Linked DNA regions of Caenorhabditis elegans. The protein of the gene in region 1 purifies or fractionates together with the protein of each later gene. This does not show direct contact. Each region holds a gene or a part of one and is shown on either strand. Other genes may lie near its edges.

Region 1 (7,315 bases):
ACTATTTTGTTTTTTCTCTTCATCTGATCCTAAAGTTACGTTGATTTCTTCGCTGGCAAAAGTAGACATGTCTTCGTTTGTGTCCATTGCTGAACAATCTATCTTGTGAAAAATATTTTTACAGTTGAGTTTACCATCGGAAGCGTCAATATGCAAATCCTTGGATGCTTGAAATAAGGGCTCCACAGTGGTCTCGCTCATATTTTGGCTGTAAGTTCCCACGATTGGAAGGCTTTCCTGATTTGACAACTCATTGCTTCTTGTATTTGGACCCTGACGATGTTCCTGAATGAATCCCATATACCTAGCTAAAAAGATCTTGCAATTCATTCACTCTCTACTACAAAATTGTATGAAGAAGAAATTAACTAATGGCGAAGTTTTGTTACTAAATCACACCGAAATAGTCATACCCTAAAATTCAGTAAGTGACGAATAAAACTTGCAGCAATGGCAAATTTTTTTCTCCTTATGTGGTCTATAGAAATTATAAAAACCAATAAGGTAACTCACTTTATATAGATTTTCTGGTTTATTTGTAACGATTTGTCTGGTTGGCACCTTTCTCTTGAGTTTCTTTGCACATTTTGATACTTTGGATTGCTTCCTGAGTCGACGCTCTTTTAATTGCGATTTTCTCATTTTCTCACTAATTTTAGTGACAGATAAAAATCCGCTCCCTAGCTTTGGATTGTAACTGGGATCGTACGAGTCGTCGGATGATTCATCTGATTGTGAGTCTAAGAATTCAGGGTCCATGATTAACTGAAAAAGAAACATTTAGATCAAGGAACAACAAAACAGGACGGAAATAAGCTAAGAGAATGGGCACAGATGCAAAATCATGTTTTGATTCATAAACCACGTGGTTCATGTGGTTCATACGGAAAAGTTAGAATACGGCGATGTAGCGCATACATACATCTGAATGTGTTGCGAAGATATATAGAAAGCTAATTAATGCTTTTTTAGTTGCTATGGGAGACACGTGTGAAGTTGCGAAGGTGAATAGCAAAACCGAGGTAGCCGAGATCTTAAAGGTGGAATAACGGTTTGGGGGTATTTTACGTTTATATACTCAACATAAGCTCGAATCATAAAATCAGAAATGCAATTTAACCACTCCGAAACCAGACTTTCGGTGGTTTCGCAGAAACTACTTTCGAATAGACTGTGGGCAAATCGGTTCTGAACGTCAAGTCATAAAATGTAAAGAATTAATCAAAATAGAGAAAATAGAGAAACAATTCAGGCACAGCAAAAGGAAGGTCCACGCTGGCCAGAAAAATAAAAAAAATGGATAAGAAATTGAAATATAGGGAGAAAAAAAAACAAAAATAAGGAAACTAGCTAAAAAAAATCCAAGGTGTAAAATTCAAAAGAACAAAAATTTAAGTTACGAAATGGATAATTGAGATTCATTAGTGGATTTGACGCATAGAGGGTACACTTATTGCAAAAGTGTACAAATATAATTGATGTTTTCATACTTGATAGGGGAGACACGTGAGGAGGAGTTAATGAGTTGCGACGTCAACAAATGAAAATCTACCAAAATTGCAAAAATAAACGTCAGGGGTGTTAACTTTGCTCCTATTGTGAGAGTCATGTGTGAAATCAAAAGATTATTAATGACGTTTTTAACAATTGATATATTACGTGAAACAAGTTTTTCTAGAACGCGTATGTGAAAAACCTCGAAATATAATTTTTTCAGATGCATAATCAAACTCATTGTGAGCTTTCAAAAATAGTGAGATGTGCCGTTATTATGTTTCTGAACAATTCATACTTTATGTTGAAAAATTGTCAGTTGGAACTGGTTGAACATTTTTTTGGGCGTGCCAAAACAGTGTTACCCAAAATTCTAATGCCAACAACTTGAAACATGTTTGTAAAATTTGTAGAGAAACAATTTTATAGTGGATTGAAGTGGGACAACTGGGGGGTTGTCTTGTGAGTCAATGCAATTTTTTATTGTCATAAAAGCGTTAAATAAGTTTGATTTATGCAAAAAATATGTTCGCAGTTTTGTATCAGACACATTTGTTTTAGAACAATAGTTTTCAAGTAACATTATATTATTATCAAAAAATAACAATCGCACAGACCACGTGGCTTTTGTTTTTTATTTCTTTTTTATTTACGCTCCTCCCACGTCTGACCTTTAGTTCAGTTTTTAAATTATCTTTGAAAATAAAGTTGTGGGAAGAGCGTAAATAAAAAAGAAATAAAAAACAAAAGCCACGTGGCCTGTGCGATTGATATTTTTTGATAATATGTGGTTTATTTTTTCATGTCTTATTGAAATGTTTATTGAACTTATCACAAGTGTTCAAAACAACGATTCACATTGAGATGTCGTTCTTTGTGATTTCGACAAATGTGAACGCATTGGTGGACTGACTATGACACCTAACACAACGAGAATGGCCAAACATGATATTGCAAATTTTTACAGTTTGTGATTCAGTTTTATTTTTTTTTTGTTGGATGAATTGAAAATTTAGTATTCTTTTTTCCCTTTTTTCCAAGTAAGTGGCAGTAAAAAAATTTTACGGGGATGCAGAATTGAATTGGAACCTGTTCAATATGCGTACCACAAAATATCACAACATTTTCAAAATTGAAAAACTAATACCTGATTTTTTTTATTTTTAGATTTGCTAGGAATCATGATTTCTGAGCCTAGAAATGAAAAAGTTTCGGAAAAATTATTTGTGTGAATAAATTTTCGGAACAATTATTCATTTCAAAAATAAATTCATTAACAGCATTTGGGGAACAGCAACTACATGATTACCATCACATGTGGTGTCAGATTTTTGTAGATCAAGCCGTAATCCTATATCCACATGGCACCGCCCTTGCTTGTTTCCTGCAAAGTGCTAGCTGACACTAAAACTGTAATTTTCAAATGTTTTTACTTGCATGAAGGGAATGTTCGTTTGCAAATTGCATGAACACAATCAATATTAGAGTGGTAGCACATTTTGAAGCTTTTTAACAATACAGATTTATATTTGAGACAATTATGACACGAAGTTTTGCTGTCATACTTTTAAAAAAAGTGTAGCTTTTCATTGGATAGTTTGAAGACTGACATAACCCAACATGACGATTTAAAAAATGCATAATGAGGATAAAAAATTTGAAAACATTGAAAGAGAAATGGGCATAATCCCGAAGAAAAGATCGGTCAATAAGAGAAGGTACATTTCTGTGGCAAAAAGCGTAGGGAACATGAATGATTTTGGTGAGGTGAATTTTGTTTGGCAACGGTTGCAATACACATTAAGCTATTAATAAAATTAGAGATTCGTGAAACTTTGTCCATCACTTCCAGTTAAATCGACGCCATTGTCATGATTGTTGTGGTAATTCACATTACCATCCGGCGCGATATATTGGACGTGGTCGTGATATTGGTCGTAGGTAGACATGGGTTGCTGATGCTCGATATAATCCGTTTGATGATCCATGCCATTATTGATGTATCCAGTCGACGTCGACGGCATCGATGAATTGACTATCCCGCCCTTTGGTCTGAAATATTCACACATATTGAAAAATGAAACAATTTTAAATAAGAAAAACTAACTGAATTTCAACTGGCGATGGGAGAACTATTGAGGACGAATCAGAAGTTTCTTCACCAGGTAAGCGGTTCCGGCGTTTCAATTTTCTGGGAGACGTTGTACTGCTGACCATTGATGACGATTCGGCTGCTGGAAAGTAAAAACAATTAAACATTCAAGTTCAAAACATCTTTCCACTAATACAATTTTTTGAAAATCTGCTTACTTTTCGTATTGTCAAAACGCCCATCAAGCCCTCTCTTGCGTTTTAGTGCATGAAGATGACGACTTTCGTGGAGATACTTCTGGCGAGCAAGTGGGAGCCGTCCACTGGCTTCAAGCTGTTGCCTCATCTCACGTCTTCGCATAATTCTGTTGAACTGCTTCGGATTGACCAGCATGGGTTGTTGCACTTTTGGACCAATCATTTCTACATTGGGTACTGTTCCGTTTGCTGAAAAAAGGTATTATTCATTGGAACCGTTTAAAATAATTTTATTGCCGATGCAGTTTTGCGGAATATATTTTTCTGGGTGTAAATTTAAATTATCCCGTGAAAAGAAAAAAAATATCTGACTTACGGAAAGATAGTACTGGTAGTTCATCCCTGGGCCGAGCATTGTTAAAAAGATTTGAATCCATTTCCAACGTTTTTGGAAGCATTGCCTGAAACTCTATGTTTGTAGGAGATATTTTCACAATTTATAATCAACCTTCACATCTTCTTCCGTTGCATCCATTGGCATTGGAACCAAAAGCGTCCTAGGTATTCCGTCGAGCACCCATGAATATTGAAACAGCTGAAAACAGATTTAAATTGACTTTAGATCTACATACAAATGTAAAACTCCCTAACCTTGCAGTTTGGCGGCAGTTCTATTGTCGTCGGAACTTTTGACTGATTAATCTCATTGATTTTTCCAGAATCTGAATAGATAAGTATGTTTACAGTGTAGACTTTACACACATATCAAAAATTTACCATACCTAACAACTCTAGTTGCTCCCTTGCTTTCTGTCCATTCTCGGGTTCATTGGGTTTAAAAGATATTGCATGCGTGAATACGGGCTCAGACTCGTCTGTAAATAAAAATTTTGAAATTATATACTTAGCTTCACTCACTTGGACTGTAAAATGAGGTAGTCGTAGATGCCACCGATGTGCTTGGTTCATTATATTGGATATAACTGCCGTTCTGTGGTTGTGATTGAGAAACCGGAGCTGGGCCAAATGCTTGTTCAATTCGTTGTTGTTGTGAAGGTGTAACATGGGACGATCTATGGAATTGTGGGGCTCGAGCTGTAGAAACGCTAGCTGGAGTATATTGAGAGGGTGTAGTTTGAGTAGGCGTTGTTTGTGAAACTGATGCTTGATGAGTTTGAGATCTTACAACTGGAGGTTGGTGGCATTGTGTTTGAACGTTCGGCGAAGAAGTAGCTGGAGGTGAGGGGTTCTGAAATCAAGATAGGGTTAGTTTTATCTTTGAGATTACATCGAAAAAAGATTCATAAATACCATCAGAGTTTTAGCAACATTTGTTTCTCCATTAAATGACATCTCATTGTATTTTTAATTTTACTGTGTAACTCATCTCCTACTTTTTGTCAACATTTCAACATTTCTTGATACTTTTTCATCGACGGAAAGGGACGAGTTTAGTTCATTTGGCAGGAAAAATTAAAATTACTTTTCAAATTATTATGCCAGATTTAAGTTGAGAAAAAAAAAACTAATCTTACCACGTCTTTCACGAAACGCGGTCCTGGTAGTGGAACGGGACGTCTTATGGGAAGTTCTTTGGGTGTAGTATCCAGTGAAGTCCCGATTTTGGATGCCTTCTCGAATCGGAAAACTGTAGGCGGAATTGGTCGCTTTGCCGGAGCTTGAACTGGAGTGGGGCGCTGCACGTCGCCCCTCGACGCTCCATTCATTTTGTCTTGTTTTTTGATGATTGGATTTACCTGAAAATGAAAAATGATTAATCAATAATGAAACATTCCGTGTTTGAGGCTATTTGAGCTTTATATGGTTTTCCGATAAAACGGTGAAAATTGACAAAGTTATGGTAAAACATTATTTTCGTTAAATCAAAACGTCTAAATAAAACTTTCATTCAATAAATGTTAAATTCTCAGAAAATCAGAATAATTGAAAAGTTTTCTCGAAAAAAAAGATGAGAGAAAGTAAGAAAGGTTTTTATAATTTTGAAGTAGTGAATTCTAACGGTGGAAAAAAACTTCATGACTTAAAAGTTTACATTTTAAACTTTTAGTGTCTCTCAAAGTTCAAAAACTATTTCTGCAGAAAAAAAATGGCAAAACTAGTATGCAAAAATGTCTCGTAGTATCGAACCCTAGTAGCAACGACTGCAATCACCGAGACGACCAAATGCACCAATGCGCACTATTTTACGACAAATTCCCCTTCACGTACACGCTCAATGTTCGTATCGATTTGTGTTGACCAGAGAGGAGAGGGAGAAGAGAGAATGTAGTGACCGCAACGCGCACGTACGCACCCCAAGGTTGTTCTTCACGACGATGAATATGCATCCAACAACCAATTGATTTAGGAAGTGTCTGATGATAACGTCCCGAATGGATCATTGCGATTAGCAAGAAGTTTTTAATTATTACAAGTGATTTTTTCCACTCGCTTTTCAGGAATTTTACACATTTCTACAACATCGCTAACAATAATGCAAATGTTTCTTTGATGGCCAATTGTAAGGAGCTTCAAATTTGATCATTTTGACTTCACAATCAGATCAGAGAAGCAATTTATTTCCATTTGGGAGTACAAATCGATGTATGCATGTACATCAAAATAATATTCTCATGGAGGAACCCTGAAAAAACCGAAATTGATTGAAAATTTTTCAAATTCCTCCACAGAAAAAAAGGGAATAAGCTAAAATAATTGAAACGGATAAGCTATCATTTTCCTGGTTTTGGAGTTAAAATCAACAAGAGCATTTGTGCAATCTTGCAATTTCTGGACATCTGTAACATACAGGAGACTTCCACTAGCTGCCGAACTTAGCATTGATTCCTTCGTATCCCGACTTAACTTCAAAATTTTTTTCTGTGCACTTCTTTGCCAAAGTTCATGTGACTTGAAGCTATACAAACCTAAAATGGATAGCATTATGCTTGAAAAGACCCTAATTGCTGATTAATTATGTATTGAGGTATTACGAGAAAAATAACAGTAGTTCGTCGCTGACAATGAAATAACGTTACACAAATTTTATTTCAACTTTTAAGATCAGATTTAAGAAGATCCCAACACATAATTTATAGCATTGGGGTTCATTCTGAAACTTCTAAACAAAATAGACAATACATGATATATTGTTCAATAAAATTATTGTATTAATTTATTAAAGATTTCCAATCAAATACACCTGGCATTTCATTTTGTTTGGTTCCATTGTTTTTTACAACCGCAAAAAAAGAAGGAAAACAACCAAGTCCGCAAACATCTCAGTGACTGAATGCACAGACGGCGCAACGTTTGACGACAGATTAGTGTTTTGAACTGGTCCCGTACAGTCCTCAAGACTCTGTTTCTCATTTCCTAGTGTGCACAGAGCCGCGACGCAACCGCGCACGCTGCACACCATCTGCCGTTTTCCGAAAATGGTCATCTGTAACTTAAATATTCTAGGTGTTTTCTCACAATGTCTTTGGTTTATAAATTTTTTTTGAATTGTTTAAAATTCCATTACGTTATG
Region 2 (9,206 bases), on another chromosome or scaffold:
GTGACTGAGCCAGTGGGCATGGGAGCCTTGAAATCGTCCATTTTTCCTGAAAAAACCCAAAAATTTCTATGAAAAATTCCAGATTTTCTCACATTTTTCTCGATTTTTGCCTGACAATCCGGGCATTTTGATTTGAAATTTAGTGGTTCTACAAGGAGAAATCGTGTGGTGCACCCGATATGGTTTACTGTAGATATGTACATTTTGTTGGGGGGCTGTAAATTAATTTTGAAACAAAAATTTCAAAAAAATCGGAAAAATATTTTCTGCCTGAAAATCTGAAAATTTCACTTTCAAATTTTTTTCAAAAAATTTTATTATGATTTTCGAATTTAGCATCCCATTTTACCCCGTGAAATCAATTTTCAGCTCGAAATTCGCATATGTCGTAAAATCAAGTGTTTTGGGGTACTGTAGTCGGTGTTTGCGTACTTTTGGAGCTACAGTACCACAAAACTTCAATTTTTGAGCTGGAAGCCGGGGAAAAAGGGAAATAGGGGTAATTTGAGGCGCTGAATTCGAATTTCGCATTGAAATTTGAAATTTTCGATTTTTTTTTAAACAAAAACAAATTTTGTCTGAAAATCTCAAAATTTAAGATTTTCAAATCGAATTTTCAAAAATTTTCAATACGATTTTCGAACTCACCATCCTATTTTACCCCGTCACATCAATTTTCAGCTTGAAATTCACCAATGTCGTGAAATCAAGTGTTTTGGGGGACTGTAGTCGGTGTTTGCGTACTCTTGGTGCTACAGTAACCCAAAATTTCTCATTTTTGAGTTGAAAACCAGGGAAACCGGGGATAAGGGCCAATTTAAGGTGCTGAATTTGAATTTCACATTAAACATTTCAAAATTACAAGTTTTTTGCCAAAAAAAATTTTGTCTGAAAATCTCAAAATTTAAGATTTTCAAATCGAATTTTCAAAAATTTTCAATACGATTTTCGTACTCAGCACTTTATTTTACCCCGTCAAATCAGTTTTTAGCCCAAAATTCGCCAATGTCGTAAAATCTGGCGTTTTGGGGTACTGTAGTCGGTGTTTGCGCACTTTTGGGATTACAGTACCCCAAATTTTTAAAATTTCGAGCTAGAAGCCGGAAGAAACGGACTATAGGGTTACTTTTAACGCTGAATTCGAATTTCACATTGAAAATTCAAACTTACAAGTTTGGCGCCTCAAAAAAAAATTTCTCTGAAAATCTCAAAATTTCAGATTTTCAAATAAAAATTTTCAGAAATTTTTAATACGATTTTAGAATTCAGCACCCCATTTTACTCCGTCAAATCAATTTTCAGCTCAAAATTCGCAAGTGTCGTAAAATCAGGCGTTTTGGGGTACTGTAGTCAGTGTTTGCGTACTCCTGGAGCTACAGTACCCCAATTTTCTTAAAATTAGAGCTGGAAGCCGGGAGAAAAAGGAAATAGGGGTAATTTGAGGCGCTGAATTCGAATTTCGCATTGAAAATTTGAAATTCAATGGGAAAAGTGTGGAAAAATTGAAAAATCGATTTGAAACGAATTTTTTTGGTGGTTAAGTGAAAACTGAGGCATTGGGGTATAATTGAATTTATTTTTTTGCAATAAATTAGAGATATAAATAAATAAATGAATAAATATTTCAAAAATAATTACAATTGTATATGTTAAGTTGTCAAGGAAATGGATACGATGGAGATCAATGAAAAATGGAAAATTTTGGAAAATTGAATTTTTGCAAAAATTGCAGTTTTCAGATTCAGTTTTGAGGGAAAATGAGAAAAAATCCAATAAAAAATTCGGTAAAAATGGTGATTTTCAGTGCAAAATTTTAAAAATTCCTCAAAAAGTTGGGATTTCAGGGTGAAAAAATGCGAAAAATACAATAAAAATCGAGAAATTATCATTTTTTGCAATTTTCTCTACTTTTTCCTCTTCGTCGGCGTTCGTTTCGGCTGAACTCGGGTGGCTGCGGGTCTCGGCGCGATTGGAACGGGTACTGTATCCTCCTCTACTTGATCTACTTCTTCTTCTTCTTCATATTCCACGTCATCGTGTTGTTCCACGTGGCTGACGTGGTGGTGCTGCTGGGCATAGGAAGACGGATTTTGACCTGAAAATCGGGAAAATTGACTGAAAATGTGCAAAAATTTCATTTTTCTGAAAAAAACATATGCAAAATAGGTAAAAATAGGCCAAAAATGCCTAAAATCACTTTTTTTAAAAGAAAAATTGGCTGAAAATCAGTTTTTTCGATTAAAAAAGACTAAAAATTAGCTGAAAATACATGAAAACACTTATTTAATCGGAAAATTCATTTTATAAAACTGGAAAATTGGGGTTAAAATGCTTCAAAATCACTTTTTTCCCGATTAAAATGGCTCAAAAATGCTAAAAACTTGATTTTTTCCCATTAAAACCAGTAAAATCTCCATTTTTCAGCATTTTTGAACAGAAAATCACTAAAAAATGCAATATTTTACCGATTTTCCGCATAACTGAGCTACTTGACACTGGCTGAGGCTCTTCTTGTCCCATTCCGTGGGGTATTGCTCGTCCATCTGGCATATTCATAACGAATTGCTGAAAAAATATTAAATTTCGAACAAAAAAAATTTTTTAATCAAAATTTCTGAAATTTTCAATACGATTTTCGAATTCAGCACTCCAATTTTACCCCGGGAAATCAATTTTCAGCTCAACATTCGCAAATTTCGTAAAATCTGGTGTTTTGGGGTACTGTAGTCGGTATTTGCGTACTCTTGGGGCTACAGTAACCCAAAATATTCAAACTTTGAGCTAGAAGCACGGGGAAAAGGAAAATGAAGGTAATTTTTGGCGCTGAATTCGAATTTCGCATTAAAATTTCAAAATTACAAGGTTTTTGCCCAAAAAAAAATTTGTCTGAAAATTTCAAAATTTCCGATTTTCAAATCAAATTTTCTGAAATTTTAAATACGATTTTTGAATTCAGCACTCCAATTTACCCCGTCAAATCAATTTTCAGCTCGAAATTCGCCAATGCCGTAAAATCTGGTGCTTTGGGTTACAGTAGTCGGTGTTTGCGTACTCTTGGGGCTACAGTAACCCGAAATATTCAAAATGTTGAGCTAGAAGACGGGGAAACAGGGTTCTGGGGGTAAATTGAGGCGCTGAATTCGAATTTCGCACTAAAAATCTGAAATTCGCTGTGAAAAGTGCTGGAAATCGTACATTTGGCCCAGAAACATTTTCCAATTGCAGTGGGGTGTCCTGGATGATCAGAGGGTAGAGTTCCATGCCATTCGGAGCTGAAATTTGCTTTTCCGGAATTATTTAAAAACATTTTCTTAGATATTTGACAGAAAATCGAGAAAATTCACAATTGTTTTCAGAAAAATCGAGAAAATGTCAATTTTCACAAATTTTAATATAAAAATCGGGAAAATATCGATTTTCTCGGATTTTTCAGGTAGAAAATCAAATTAAAACCAATTTTTTCGAGTTTTTATGCTAAAAATCAAAAAAAATTTGAATTTTCTAGTTTTCTGCTGTAAAAATCAAATCTGGACCAATTTTTTCTAATCTTTACGGCAAACATAGGGAATTTTCAGTAAAATCCACAAAAGTTGACGAAATTTCGATTTTTTCTGAAGTTTTCACCAAAAAAAAAATCGATTTTCCTAGATTTTTTCCGTTCAAAATCGGTTTTAAACCATTTTTTCCAATTTTTGAGCTGGAAATCAAGAAAATTTCAATTTTCTGTTTTTTTTGTGCTGTAAAAATCTAATTTTTCTAATTTTTAAGGAAAAAAATGAGAAATTTTCTGGAAACGCCACAAAATCGGCGAAACTTCGATTTTTCCGGAATTTTCACAAAAAAAAATCGATTTTTCTCAATTTTTCCAATTTTCACGCTGGAAAATTCAGAATTTCATAAAAAATTCCGTACTTTCTTTCGCTGCAAAATGTTGTTTCGTCTTTGGATCCACATAAATCTGCATTTGGCCTTGTTGCTCCAAGGCGATGGCTCCAAGTGAATCTTGCTCAATAATTTCCTCGTGTTCTTCAATTTCTACTTCTTCCATCGGCATCGGCTCCATTGGCTCCTGAAAAATCGAATTTTTTGAGTTAAAAAATCAATTTTTGAGTTAAAAAATCAATTTTTGAGTTAAAAATTCAATTTTTGAGTTAAAAATTCAATTTTTGAATTAAAAATTCAATTTTTGAGTTAAAAATTCAATTTTTGAATTAAAAATTCAATTTTTGAATTAAAAATTCAATTTTTGAGTTAAAAAAATCAATTTTTGAGTTAAAAATTCAGGTTTTTAGTGGAAAAATCCATTTTTCCACAGTTTTCCATCCAGAAAATCCAATTTTCACCTCCATATAATATCCATCTGCGCGGGTATTCAATGTACCAGTTTGCTCATTCCATTCTTCTCCCAATGGAGCATTTTTCACAATTTCACTGCCATTTATCACGTATTGAGTCTCGGTACCTGGAAAATTGCAATTTTTTTCATCATTTTCCTAGAAAAATTGAAAATTTGGGCATAGCTTCCGCATCTCCGGTGACAAATGTGCTCTATTGCACAAATTGTTGGTTGGAATACGGTATTTATTGCATGTTTCAGCCGAGAATACCGATATTCCAGCCATCAATTTGGATAGAAGGACATGAGTCACAGAAATTTATTTTTGTAGAGAAACTACAGTAATCCTTATAGGAGTTATATGGCATTTTCAGAGCAAGTTTCGGTATTTTTCCGAAAAAAAGTCGCTTGAAACTACTATGCAAAGCTGCTGAGTTTCGCGAAAAATTCAAAATTTTGGGAAAAAAACGGTGAGAATTGCAATTTTTCCATATAAATCTTAAAAATGCATTATTAGTTTTTTTTTAACTATAGTATCCTTGAAAGTCATAGAACAAGTTGCAAGATTCGTAGAAAACTCGAAAAAATCATATATTTAACGCTAAAAATTCAAAATTAAGAATTTGTGCAACTTTCAGCAAAAAATTTAGAATTTTGACAAATTTTTAAAGGAAAATCATCATTCTCAGTGCTTCAAGCTCTGAAAAAAATTTTTAGGAATTTTTCCAGAGAAAACCATTTTTGTTCAGGTTTTTACTATTCTTCCCATTAATTTTTCAAAGCTTGAAGCACTGAGAATGATAATTTTCATTAAAAATGTGTCAAAACTCTAAATTTTTTGCTGAAAAATACTCAGAAGCCGAAATTAAAAGCCAAAAATTCTGAATTTTAAGTTTTTAGCGTTAAAATTATGATTTTTTCGAGTTTTCTGCGAATCTTGTAATTTTTTCTATGACTTCAAAGGATACTGTAGTTGAAAAAAACTGAAAAATGAATTTTTGAGATTTATGTGGAAAAAATGCAATTTTCACCGTTTTTTTACTATTATTTCGGCTTCTGAATATTTTTCAGCAAAAAATTCAGAGTTTTGACAATTTTTTTAAATGAAAAATCATCATTCTCAGTACTTCAATCTTTGAAAAAAAAACAATTCTTAGTCTAAATTTCAAGTTTCCGGTTTTTTCTATTTTTTCCATAAATTTAGTCTATTTTCTGTGAAATTTCTAGTTTTTTATTATTTTTTCCATAAATTTAGTCTATTTTCTGTGAAATTTCTAGTTTTTTATTATTTTTTCCATAAATTTAGTCTATTTTCTGTCAAATTTCGTTTTTTCTATTTTTTTCCATAAATTTAGTCTATTTTCTGTCAAATTTCTAGTTTTTTACTATTTTTTCCATAAATTTAGTCTATTTTCTGTCAAATTTCGTTTTTTCTATTTTTTTCCACTAATTTAGTCTATTTTCTGTGAAATTTCTAGTTTTTTACTATTTTTTCCATAAATTTAATCCATTTCCAGTCAAATTTCCAGTTTTTTTTTCTATTTTTCCATCAATTTAATCTATTTTCAGGCAAAATTTTCCGATTTTCACACACGAACATCTGCGTCCTTGCTCCGTATCGAAGAATAATGGCCGAACAAAAGGATCCATTTGAAATTGTGGAGGCCGTACGTAGTCTGGGTGTGTTCTGTGAATTGGTCCAGTGATCTTGTGAGCCTGACGGTACTTTTGAAGGAAAATTCGCATTGGCTCCGCGTAATTGTCGAATCCTGTGGCTTCCATCGCGGTGAGCAGGTCGTCTGGAAATTTTTTTATATTGAAAATTGCGGTTTTTAGGGTTTTTTGGGCTTTTGGGCTGTTTTTGAGTTTTTAAAAAGGTTTTCCATGCGAAAATTGTAGTTTTTGGACGATTTGCGGGTAATTTTAGACGGAGTTTCCCGGTTTTACCTGCAGTAATAGTCTTCCGCTTCGTAATATTGCATATTTCAGCGGCTTCCGAAGCGATAAAGCTTATAAACTCTGAAACACACTCTTGAGCACACTCCTTTGCGTCTTTTGCCAATTTCGCCTGCGGATCCATTTGAGTTTTCATGATTCGGACCACGTTAGCTGAAAAAATTGGGATTTTTGGAGAATTTTCAACGATTTTTGTTTTAAAAAAATTGAAAAATCTCGAGCTTGATGCCTTTTTGCAGAGAAACTTTCAATTCTTGAAAAAAAAATTACAAAAAAAATCGATTTTTGTCGAAAATTTATGTTTTTGAAAAAAAAATTGTAAAAAATTGGTCTGCTAGACTACAAACTACAATATTCGATTTAGCAGACCATTGTTGTTCTGAACAAAATTGGTCTGCTAGACTACAAACTACAAGTTTAGATTTAGCAGACCAATAGATATTGAAGAAGTTTGGTCTGCTAGACTACAAACTACAAAATTCGATTTAGCAGACCAAAGTGATTTTGAACAAAATTGGTCTGCTAGACTACAAACTACAATTTTCGATTTAGCAGACCCATGTGATATTTTTTCATTTTAAAGGGCAATTTTAGAAAAAATGGCGGTTTTTATCGGAAATTTATGAATTTTTTCACTTTTCAGTCTAGATTTTTCAAGAAATTTCAATTTTTCGTGTAAAATTCCGGGAATTTATCGATTTTCATCAAAATTTCCGCATGTTTTCCCATACCAATTGGCAAAAATCGTTCCTGATCAAGTAAAACTTGACTTTTATTCGGATGATGAAGCTCCATTGCTATTTCACTAATTGTTCGTGTATCCTCTTCTATATTATGAATTCCATTCATATCATCTTCTGTTATTTCTTCTTCTTCAGGCATTCCATGATCATGATCCTCCAGTAACATTCCTTCGTTTATGGGTTTTGGATCCATTTTGGGAGCTTTTAGACGGTGGACACGGGCTGAAAATTGCGAAAATTTGAAGAAAATAAGGTGAAAACAAGGAAAAATAGCAAAAATTCGGGGTTTTCAGCGATTTTCCGAGCTGAAAATGCTAAATTTTTAATTTTTTAGATTAAAAAACAGGAAAAATCAAGTTTCAAGACCATTTTTCAAGCTTTTCGAAGTGAAAACTCGTAATTTCTTCTTAAAAATCACATTGGTCTGCTAAATCGAAATTTGTAGTTTGTAGTCTAGCAGACCAAAAATTTTCAGAATTAAATTTTTTTAAAGCAATTTTTCAGCGAGAAATTGAACATTTTTCGAATAAAAATTAGAAAAATTGAAGTTTTTGGGACTTTTAGTGCAAAAATTGACGATTTTTGTGTTTTTAAGCATTTTTAAAGCTTAAAATTCGATGTCTCATATATTTTTGCCTGAAAAAAAGTGAAAAACTACAAGAAAAAAAGATAAAAATACGCATTTTGGATGAAATAACCCGAATACAGTGCTGCAAAAAATTTAGATAATGGAAATGAGCTGAAAATTGCGAAAATTTGAAGAAAATTGGGTGAAAACGAAGAAAATAGGCGAAATTCGGGGTTTTCAGCGATTTTCTGGGATAAAAATGATAAATTTTGTTTTTTTTCAATAAAAAAGCGAAAAAATCAAGTTTTAAGGCTATTTTTCAAGCTTTTTAGACTGAAAACTCTTCGTTTTTTCTTCTAAATCGGGTCTGCTAAATCGAAATTTGTAGTTTGTAGCCTAGCAGACCCAAAATTTGAATTTTTGCCAGGGAAAAAATTTTTCAGCGAAAAATTGAAGATTTTTCGAACAGAAATTATAAAAATTCAATTTTATGCGACTTTCAGCGCGAAAATTTGCAATTTTTGTGTTTTTTAAGGCTTTTTAAAGCTTAAAATTCGGATTTTTACCTGGAAAAAGTGAAAAACGTCAAAAAAATCGATAAAAATACAAGTTTTGGATGAAAAAACCGGGATATTGTGCTAGAAAAATCCTTGAAAAATGTTAGAAAATCAACAATTTATATGATAATGAATTCTATCGCAAAAAAAGCTATCAGAAGACGAAAAACAGGGGAAAATCTAGGAAAAGATCAATTTCAGACGGTTTTAAGGGGGATTTTCGGCGAGAAAATCAAGTTTTTCAAGCAGTTTTGGCTTGTTGAATGGCCGCAGATGGTCCGAGAAGCATTTGACGTTGCTGAGCCACTTGAGTCTTTTCCAAATCACTTCGTTCCTTTTCGATAATGTATGGAAGGAAGGCGATCAATGACGTTGTAGATACAACCCAAATTGTGCTTTTTGTAAGGGAAAACTGAAAGAAAATTGAGTTTTTTTGGAGTTTTCAGTGTGAAATATGAGTTTTTACTGTCAAATTGAGATTTTTTTACAAAAATCGATAATTTTTAGTTTTTAGAGCAGAAATTCGGGAAAACTGAAAGAAAACATATTCTTTTTTAGAGTTTTCAGTGTAAAATAAGCAAATTTTTAATTTTTTCTCTATTAAAAATTGTCAAATTGTTGATTTTCCGAGTGTTTTATAGCAAAAATCAATAATTTTTGGTTTTTAGAGGAATAAATAAGATTTTTTTGAGTTTTCAAATAAAAAAGGCCGAATTTTTACTTTTTTTCAGTTTAAAATTGTCAAATTGTTGATTTTCTAGATGTTATACTGCAAAAATCGATAATTTTTAGTTTTTAGAGCAGAAATTCGGGAAAACTGAAAGAAAATTGAATCTTTTTTAGAGTTTTCAGTGTAAAATAGGCAAATTTTCAACTTTTTCTCGGTTCAAAATTGCCAAATTATTGATTTTCCGGTTTTTTAATGCAAAAATCGATAATTTTTATAATTTAGAACAGAAATTAGAGGAAAACTGAAAGAAAATTGATTTTATTTAGAGTTTTCAGTGTGAAATATGAAGAATTTTGGCTTTTTCCAGTTGAAAATC

Evidence for each region. The genes of interacting proteins can lie anywhere in the genome.
Region 2: the proteins of nfya-1 (region 1) and nfyb-1 purify together in Caenorhabditis elegans (affinity purification with western blotting, with the first as the bait; one study listed by BioGRID). This does not show direct contact.

Annotation. Positions count from the first base shown.
Region 1 is NC_003284.9:11,941,293-11,948,607, forward strand, and holds nfya-1 (Nuclear transcription factor Y subunit nfya-1), read right to left. Parts: upstream 5,547-7,315; 5' UTR 5,511-5,546; coding exon 5,319-5,510; intron 5,033-5,318; coding exon 4,702-5,032; intron 4,659-4,701; coding exon 4,566-4,658; intron 4,506-4,565; coding exon 4,435-4,505; intron 4,379-4,434; coding exon 4,292-4,378; intron 4,245-4,291; coding exon 4,160-4,244; intron 4,033-4,159; coding exon 3,805-4,032; intron 3,729-3,804; coding exon 3,602-3,728; intron 3,547-3,601; coding exon 3,312-3,546; 3' UTR 2,993-3,311; downstream 1-2,992. Other genes in the region: F55G7.3 (BLVR domain-containing protein), read right to left, coding at 1-89, 135-285, 514-759. UniProt on the Caenorhabditis elegans protein: Component of the sequence-specific heterotrimeric transcription factor (nfya-1-NF-Y) which specifically recognizes a 5'-CCAAT-3' box motif found in the promoters of its target genes to regulate their expression and control cellular identity in particular tissue types.
Region 2 is NC_003280.10:460,109-469,314, forward strand, and holds nfyb-1 (Nuclear transcription factor Y subunit nfyb-1), read right to left. Parts: upstream 7,258-9,206; 5' UTR 7,229-7,257; coding exon 7,024-7,228; intron 6,798-7,023; exon of another isoform or gene 6,741-6,797; intron 6,446-6,740; coding exon 6,284-6,445; intron 6,136-6,283; coding exon 5,935-6,135; intron 4,463-5,934; coding exon 4,344-4,462; intron 4,070-4,343; coding exon 3,913-4,069; intron 3,273-3,912; coding exon 3,196-3,272; intron 2,566-3,195; coding exon 2,466-2,565; intron 2,096-2,465; coding exon 1,905-2,095; 3' UTR 1,559-1,904; downstream 1-1,558. Other genes in the region: W10D9.3 (MKRN2 opposite strand protein-like C-terminal domain-containing protein), read right to left, coding at 1-46, 93-215, 649-651; tomm-22 (Mitochondrial import receptor subunit TOM22 homolog), read right to left, coding at 8,402-8,572.